Callithrix jacchus: one gene and its partner. The protein of the gene in region 1 interacts with the protein of each later gene in a biochemical or structural test. Links are inferred from orthologs where the notes say so. Each region holds a gene or a part of one and is shown in the gene's direction. Other genes may lie near its edges. The genes, in order: CHML and RAB1A.

Region 1 (4,436 bases):
GATACCATCATAGATTCGGTCTCCCTCTTCACACCCTGCTGGAGGAAGCAGAATAAGTAATTCAGACATACTTAAATATATACTTGAGTGTGCCAGGCAACTGCTCAATTCTGTACTTAATTCCTGGTTCTTAGGGAGTGCCGAAAATGAGTGGAATTCTTGATATCTTGAGGCAGACGCTGTGACTAAACAGGACTGTTAGGATTGCCATTTTAGTTAAACTAAAGATCTATAACCTACGCAATTTAATCTAAGTTCCAATTGAATGGCTTATTTTACCAGTATACAGAATTATTAGTCATCTTGGCCTAGACAGGTCCAGCTTGTACTGATCTATATTTTAGTAGGTTTAACCGTAGTGAAAACCAGAGCTCAAAACTACAATGATGAATGTTAGAAAGTTTAGCAGTGTTGTATGTATAATGCTTTAGTCTGAAGACTTTCAGGTGAGTATGCTCTTCAGCACCTGGGCTTTTCTACCTCCGGCCACACATAGCATCACACAGATGTCTTGTGCACATGGAATGTAACCAGGAGTCTTTTTTTTTTTTTTTTTTTTTTTTACTACCCGTTCAAAAATAAGAACAAACAACATGTTAGTCTTGGCAGAGGATGTTTAGATAGAGGATGTTGGGATACAGAGATTCAGGGTTGCAGAGACAGTGGCAGAATGCAAACATCATATTCAAATGTTAGGAGTAGGTATTATTTATATCAAGATATTTTAATATGAAACCAGGAATTTTCCTTTTTAACTTACACTTAAACACTTTTTTCCTTTTTTACTTAGACATATATGCATACGTACATTCATATAAATATTTTTTATAAATACATTTTCCTCCTCAGGCCTATTCTGTATGAGCCGAAATATTTTTAAATGACTGGTTGTTTTACTGAATTCATCCTTTTTAAATCATCTGACTAACAATTCGGTAGAAATAATCTCCTATTCCTACCATAAGATCCTACGTGTGGTTGTGGCATAGAAAGGTCATCTATTCAGCTATTCTGGAATCGTACACAGACTGTAATGGCCACAGAAATATTTTTAATCATGGCAGTATGCACATAGTACATAATCTGTTTCTATAAACAATGGAACCACATGCTCCTATTAGTCTAAGCTCACGGCTGTGTATTTTATTCACATGCTAGTTTTCTTAAAAGCTAAATTTAGAGAGTTGTATTATGTTATTTCTTCTTTATTTTTGTGAAACATTATGTTCATTCTCCATTATTATATCGCCTAATTTTGGGGAGGGCTGTTTTATCTCTATTGTTCATTTTCAAGAAATTAGAAAATATGTGAGAAAGCATTTAAGACATGCTTTAGTGGAGGTTTATGTTCAAATAATAAGTCACACTCCAATGGATTGTAATTGTTGCATGAAATTATCTTCTCATTGTTTACAATGTATTCTTTCTTGAATTTTCTTCTTTCAGAGAAGAGTTCCAGTCACAAATGCATATATGATGCATTTTGACATTTACTGCTAAGATGAAATGCAGAAATGAAACCACACATCCGTTTTAGTATTCTCAGATGTGATTAGATGTACTTTCTCATGTTTTTATGCTACTGACTTACAAGAAAAAAAATATTTTAAAAGGGTAACCATTAAACAGCTAGGACCTGCAACTTCAGAGCTTCTGGGATAAAGTGGAACATCAGAAGGACAGATTTTATTACAGCATAGTCACACCTTATTTCTTTCATCAGCAGTTGTCACCAGACGATTTTACTTCCTAGAATGGCGGACAATCTACCCACAGAGTTTGATGTGATTATAATAGGGACAGGTTTGCCTGAATCCATTCTTGCAGCTGCATGTTCAAGAAGTGGTCAGAGGGTTCTACATGTTGATTCAAGAAGTTACTATGGAGGAAACTGGGCTAGTTTCAGCTTTTCAGGATTGCTATCCTGGTTGAAGGAGTATCAGCAAAACAATGACATTGGGGAAGAAAGTACTGTTGCATGGCAAGACCTGATCCATGAAACGGAAGAAGCCATTACTCTTCGCAAGAAGGATGAAACTATTCAACATACAGAAGCTTTTTGTTATGCGAGTCAGGATGTGGAGGATGACATTGAAGAGATTGGTGCTCTGCAGAAAAATCCTTCCTCAGGGGTGTCTAGTACCTTCACAGAAGTTCTGGATTCTGCATGCTTGCCTGAAGAAAGCCAGTCATCGTACTTTAATAGTGATGAAATGCCTGCCAAACACACTCAGAAAAGTGCTGGAGAGATTTCCCTAGAAATAACTGATGTAGACGAATCAGTGGAGAAAGAAAAGTATTGTGGAGATAAAACTTGCATACACACAGTTTCAGATAAAGATGGAGTTAAAGATGAAAGCACATCTACAGTAGAAGACAATGCCAATCAACCAAATAGAAATAGGATTACTTACTCTAAAATAGTTAAAGAAGGAAGGAGGTTTAATATTGATTTGGTATCAAAACTGCTGTATTCTCAAGGATCACTAATTGACCTTTTAATCAAATCAGATGTTAGTCGTTATGTAGAATTTAAAAATGTCACTAGGATTCTTGCATTTCGAGAAGGAAAGGTAGAACAAGTGCCTTGCTCTAGAGCTGATGTCTTTAATAGCAAGGAACTTACCATGGTTGAAAAGAGGATACTAATGAAATTTCTCACATTTTGTTTAGAGTATGAACAACATCCTGACGAATACCAAGCTTTTAGGCAGTGTTCATTTTCAGAGTACTTAAAAACTAAAAAATTAACTCCCAACCTTCAACATTTTGTACTGCACTCAATTGCAATGACATCAGAATCATCTTGCACTACAATAGATGGCCTTAATGCAACTAAAAACTTCCTTCAGTGTCTTGGACGGTTTGGGAACACTCCCTTCCTATTTCCCTTGTATGGCCAAGGAGAAATTCCCCAGTGTTTCTGTAGGATGTGTGCAGTTTTCGGTGGAATCTATTGTCTTCGTCATAAAGTACAATGCTTTGTAGTCGACAAAGAATCTGGAAGATGTAAAGCAATTATAGATCACTTTGGTCAAAGAATAAATGCTAAGTATTTTATTGTGGAAGACGGTTACCTTTCTGAGGAAACATGCTTAAATGTGCAGTATAAGCAGATCTCCAGGGCAGTACTCATTACAGACAAGTCTATACTAAAGACAGATTCAGATCAGCAGACTTCCATTTTGATAGTTCCTCCAGCAGAACCAGGAGCTTGTGCTGTTCGGGTCACAGAACTATGTTCTTCAACCATGACATGCATGAAGGACACCTATCTGGTACATTTGACGTGTTCATCTTCTAAAACAGCAAGAGAAGACTTAGAACCAGTGGTGGAGAAATTATTCACTCCGTATGCTGATATAGAAATAAACAAGGAAGAACTTACAAAGCCAAGACTCTTGTGGGCTCTTTATTTTAATATGAGAGATTCCTCAGGCATTAGCAGAAGCTCATATAATGGCTTACCTTCCAATGTTTATGTCTGCTCTGGGCCTGACTGTGGACTGGGAAATGAGCATGCTGTCAAGCAAGCTGAAACGCTTTTCCAGGAGATCTTTCCAAGTGAAGAATTCTGCCCTCCACCTCCAAATCCAGAAGACATTATTTTTGATGGTGATGATAAGCAGCCAGAGGTTCCTGGGACCAATAATACAGTAATAGCCAAACTACAATCCTCTGAGGAAAGCAAAAACCTAGAAAGCCCAGAGAAGCACCTTCAAAATTAGAAAAGAACTATCTGGAAATGCAGTTTTGGACCTTTACCGTGGCGTCAGAATATTCTCATTTAAAGAACAGTTTCCCATATGAGTAATTAGAAGTGGTGATATATGATGAATGCTATGCAGATGTTATCTTTAACTCTCTTTCAGACATTCAACATTGAATATCTTTGTTAACCTATCAACAAGTGATTTACTGATTATTGAACATTTTGTTTAGAATGGGCTATGTGATCCAAAGTCTTAAAACAGAGTTAGCTTTATTTTAGTATTGGGTATGTATGTAAGGGTTCCATGTTAGCAACTCAGCTTAAAGGTAACATTGTATTTGCTAATGATCTTCAGGTTTTATCTTTGTCTACAGAATAATTAGTAATACCCAAGTAATATTTTAATTACTTTTACAGCTATTAGAGTTGCTGCAGCCTGTTTGAATAGTGAAACACACACAAATGGTAAATTATGTGGATCTTTTGCATATAATATAAATATATAGACATGGTGGTAGGAATAGCAACTAATACAGATGCCAATATGATAATAAAATACGTTTGTCTGTAATTGTTAAAAGATTAGCTTTGCATGATCCTTTATTCATTGTGAAGGTCCGAAGTTTCTAATACCCACTTGACCCTTGTAACTGATGAGGCAATGATGCCACCGCAGTGTTCTAATTTACAAAAAGAGTTGGAGTTCAATTTTTAGTGATTGAAA
Region 2 (4,469 bases), on another chromosome or scaffold:
CAGAAGCCAGCATGTGAAGTAACTCATATAACCTTTGAAAATTTATCAACTAAGGCCCACGGCAGAATTTGAGGGTTAAGGGGTGTAATTAGTGTATAGGTAGATATAAGTGCCTTCTTTCTATATTTTGGCGTTGTAGTAATTTAAAGTGATTCTGCAGTAAGTCTCAGGAGACAATTTTCTTAGTTCTTAGAAGCTGTAATATAAACTTTGGACAATGTATTATACTATGCCCTTTGTAATTAAATAACTCAAGATAATGTGTTAAAGTTTAGTGGAGATTTAAATTCCTGCGCTGATTAAAGAGAGCTGTTAAGACCACAGGTTTTTAAAAAATGAGTTAATAAATAATACCCTCAGAAATTGTAGGCATTATGTAGTGATGAATTGCATGTTTTTATTGTTTATTATTTTCCAATCTTGCAGAATGGCTCAGGATTAGTAACAACTGAAAATAAGACATTACAACTCAACTTGAAGGCTGGCACGAAGGGAGGACTTGGATTTTAGGCTGGCTCTGGGCTGTGTCCCTCCCGTCCATGGAATGTGGAGCCACTGAAGGTTGTGGGGTCATGGTAGAGGTGCTGTCTCAGAAAGATACATTCGATTGTGTGCGCAAATGGGCTGGGGCGGAGAAGAGAGAGGCAGAGCCCATTAGGAGACTACTGCAATATCCAGGCTGACGAGTTAAGACAGGGGCAGCAGTAAGAATAAGAAGAAATCAAAGAAAATGGTAGTGCGCGGGGCCAACAATGGACGATGACCGAACCAAGTTGGGGCTGGGTGAGAAGTGAAAGAACCGCTCCGGGTTGTCCAGGGAGCCCCTTGACTTCCCTTCTGTCCTTAGAGCGGACGTCCTCCGACTAGCCAGCCGGGTGGCGCAAGCCTCAAGCTGGTTAGGTCAGCAAAAGCCACACCGGGGGCCTGAGCCGCCACGCGTGTCCCCCGCCCCCGGCCCCCTCCCCGCCCTTGCACCCCGGCAGTCTCTCCGGTTTGACCACTCCCTCCGGTCCCCAACCTTCCCCGACCCCCAGCCTCCGTCGACCGCCGGCACCGCCCTCCGCCTCTCTCCGCCCCTCTCCGCCCCCTCCCGCGTGGGGCGCTTACTAGCCCAGCTGCCACGTCTCACTGCTGACATCACCAGGGCCGCTCGGCCTTAGCCAATCCGCCAGGGGGAGTCAGAGCGAAGTCCTAGCCAGCGAGTCAGAGGGGAGGGGAGCAAGGAGGGGCGGAGGGTGGGGAGGTGAGGGAGTGGGGAATAGGGCGGGCGACAACCCTTCAAGTACGCATGCTCCAAACGCGCGGCGCTTGGCGGGAAGCTGAGTCTTGGCCTCCGCTCCGCACCGTCTGTTTTCAGCTCGCGTATCCGCACTCGCGACTCCCATTCCCGGCATGCCAGGCGGTGCGGCCGCCCTCCGGCTGTGTAAAGGCTCCTTGGTCTAAGGCTTCCCTATTTCCTGGTTCGCCGGCAGCCATTTTGGGTGGAAGCGATAGCTGAGTGGCAGCGGCTGCTGATTGTGTTCTAGGGGACTGAGTGGGGGAAGACGTTTGCTCTCCCGGAACAGCCTATCTCATTCCTTTCCTTCGATTACCCGTGGCGCGGAGAGTCAGGGCGGCGGCTGCAGCAGCAAGGGCGGCGGTGGCGGCGGCGGCAGCTGCAGTGACATGTCCAGCATGAATCCCGAATAGTGAGTTCAGGAGAGCACCGGTCGGCTGGGTCCGTGGGCCAGCTTGAGGGATCTTAAAGGGGGCAAGGAGGGTTGGGGCGGAAGTCGGAGCCTCAGCTGGGTTGAGGCGAGGGTGATGGGTCAGGAGAGGCTGGCGGCCGGGAGCCGGGCCCCATTGTCTGACGCGGAGGGGCGGCCGGGCGGGGGAGGGGTCGGGCCGGAGGGGTGAGACGCCCGGGCCTGGACCAGGTCAGGTTGGAGGGCCTGAGTGTGGGGCGGGTGCTGAGGAACTGTGCGGAGGGTCCTGAGGCGGTGTGAAGGGTTAGCTTTTCCTGGAGGCAGTGACTTTTGAAGGAGGACTTGTTTCTGAGGGGAGGGGATGGCGTGGGAGAGCCCTCCTAGAGGGCACTGGCAGACCCTGCGCCCGCACTCTGCGGAACTGTCAGGATCCTCGGGGTGGAAACCAGCTTTACTTGCAAATCCTGAGCTTCTTGGCTCCCTCTCCTTCCATCCTCTCCGCCAGGTTTCAGGTAATATGGATGCTTTTCGGGACTGCTTGGGATTGAGGGGAATGAGTAGATGGTGAGAAGCGATTTTTAAGTTCTCTTTTTTGAGTTGTGTCTTGGAAGAGTTCTTTAAGAACTCGGCGGTTCCATTGCCCTCCTAAAAACCTGGGCACTTGTGAGAATTTTTTTTTTTTTTTTTAGAGGACACTTAAGTCATTTTGTCTTCTGTAGGTCAAGGAAAAAAAACACACAGCTAAAGCCAAGGAATGTTTTTCTGATACTACCAGATTAAAGGAACCCTGCTGTCAAGTTGAAAGAGAAACGAATGGGACCTATGATAGATCTGTATGTAGGTTTTGGATTACCTGCTTGAATGATTGCAGATAGGGAATGATAGGCAATGAGGTTCCATGACGTGTCATGAAAAGTTAATGCATTTCTTTTTCTTGCTTACTCAAGAAGTCACGACAGCAGATGTGACACACCTGGCACCTTTCCTGGGAACTGGTGTTCACTTCCCTTGGGTAGACTTTGTTGGCTCTCCTCAGTGGCCCTTTAAAAATTTCCTCTACAGTTTACATATATGTAAAGTAATGAGTAATTGGAAGAGATAGAATTGGTATTTCTTTTCAGTGTCAAAAGCCTTTGAGGGATGGGGGAAATGAGTATTTGTTGTAAAAGTTGAGTTTATTTGCTGCTTTGATCAATTACTGCTAAACATTTTCCCCTAAAAGGTCCACCCACCAGTTTAGCTGACTGTCATGTGTGTGTCACATGGCTCTTGCAAAATGCATTCTTCAAGTTTTGTAACACTGGCTTGATGCTGAAATCTTTTGCACTAAACTGAAACCATAGTATTTTATTAGAATTTTATGCTTTAGAAGTTGACGGTAGTGTTCTTGTAGTGACATATTTACTTTGTTGACAGTTAAAAAAATTTTTTTTTCAAGGGCTCCAAGGACACAGTTGGTTTTGCACAGGTGAACACAGTTGAACTTGAGGTTCTTAATTTAGTGGTTTTCTTGGTAACAGTAAAGAATATGGATTTACCGCTCTATCAAAGTTCATAAACCTGTACTGTTAAGGGCTTTTTCTGAATTTACTATATATATGTTTAGTACTGTAAATAGATATTCAAGATTAGTTGAGAACTTTGACAAGTTAGCCTCTGAATTTATTTCCCCTTTTGTTAAATAGAATAATTGGAATCATTATTCCTTTCAGGGTAGTGGTGAAATTCAAATGCATATAAAAGAATTAGGAAAACTATATGAGCATTCTTCAGGTAGTATGCGTAATTTTCATGAAAGGCGTTCTATTAGTGCTAAGATTTAGGAATATAATCTTTATGTTTAAGGAGTTTAGGAATATAGATAAACATTTTATGCATGTCAAATACCAGTAAATGCAGCAAATTCCAGATGTGTGTCGTTGATGAGAGCAACAAGATTTCGGGGATGGTGGGTTGTGATTAGCTATCTGGGTTTTGGAAGACTTTATAGAAAAGAGACCTGAAAGGAAATTATCAGCAGCAATTGGATTTGGAGGAACAGAGGGAGTGAGAAGGAATTTTCAAGGAGGAGAAGCAGGAATGGCTCATAGATGACAGGGATAGTAATTCTTGAGTAAATGTGGTATCACATCATCCTTTTCTTTTGAAGACTAGATTAATGACCTCAATGGAATCAAATCCAGAAATAGTTTTTATATTTTTTCTGGCATCAAATACATGAGTATCTGGCCTACTATATTTGTAGTCTATCTAGACTGTTGAGTAAAGTAAAACAGGAATTTGGGAAAACTTTTGCAAAAATGTTAGTGGAAATTAGGGTAAGAGGAAGTGAGGGATATTTTATTAGGGAAGGTTACAAGGGCAGCCAACAATCAGATTTTTAGCAATCTGACTTTAGCAGGTTTTTTTTTTTTTTTTTTTGAGACGGGGTTTCGCTCTTGTTACCCAGGCTGGAGTGCAATGTCTCGATCTTGGCTCACTGCAGCCTCCGCCTCCTGGGTTCAGGCAATTCTCCTCCTTCAGCCTCCTGAGTAGCTGGGATTACAGGCACACACCACCGTGCCCAGCTAATTTTTTGTATTTTTAGTAGAGACGGGGTTTCACCATGTTGACCAGGATGGTCTCAATCTCTTGACCTCGTTATCCACCCGCCTCGGCCTCCCAAAGTGCTGGGACTACAGGCGTGAGCCACTGTGCCCGGCCTGCAGTTTTTTTAATGAAGCTTGTTACCTTTGTAAAAGTAATTAGAGAAAATTTGGAAAATAAAGGAAAGAAAGAAAAGTT

What was found.
Region 2: the proteins of CHML (region 1) and RAB1A form a complex in vitro, tested with the Homo sapiens proteins (2 studies listed by BioGRID). The link is inferred for Callithrix jacchus from reciprocal best matches to the Homo sapiens genes CHML and RAB1A.

Annotation. Positions count from the first base shown.
Region 1 is NC_133520.1:44,290,359-44,294,794, forward strand, and holds the start of CHML (rab proteins geranylgeranyltransferase component A 2), read left to right. Parts: upstream 1-1,619; 5' UTR 1,620-1,723; coding exon of another isoform or gene 1,724-1,754; coding exon 1,755-3,728; 3' UTR 3,729-4,436. UniProt on the Homo sapiens protein: Substrate-binding subunit (component A) of the Rab geranylgeranyltransferase (GGTase) complex. Binds unprenylated Rab proteins and presents the substrate peptide to the catalytic component B.
Region 2 is NC_133515.1:48,813,323-48,817,791, forward strand, and holds the start of RAB1A (ras-related protein Rab-1A), read left to right. Parts: upstream 1-1,474; 5' UTR 1,475-1,665; coding exon 1,666-1,688; intron 1,689-4,469. UniProt on the Homo sapiens protein: The small GTPases Rab are key regulators of intracellular membrane trafficking, from the formation of transport vesicles to their fusion with membranes.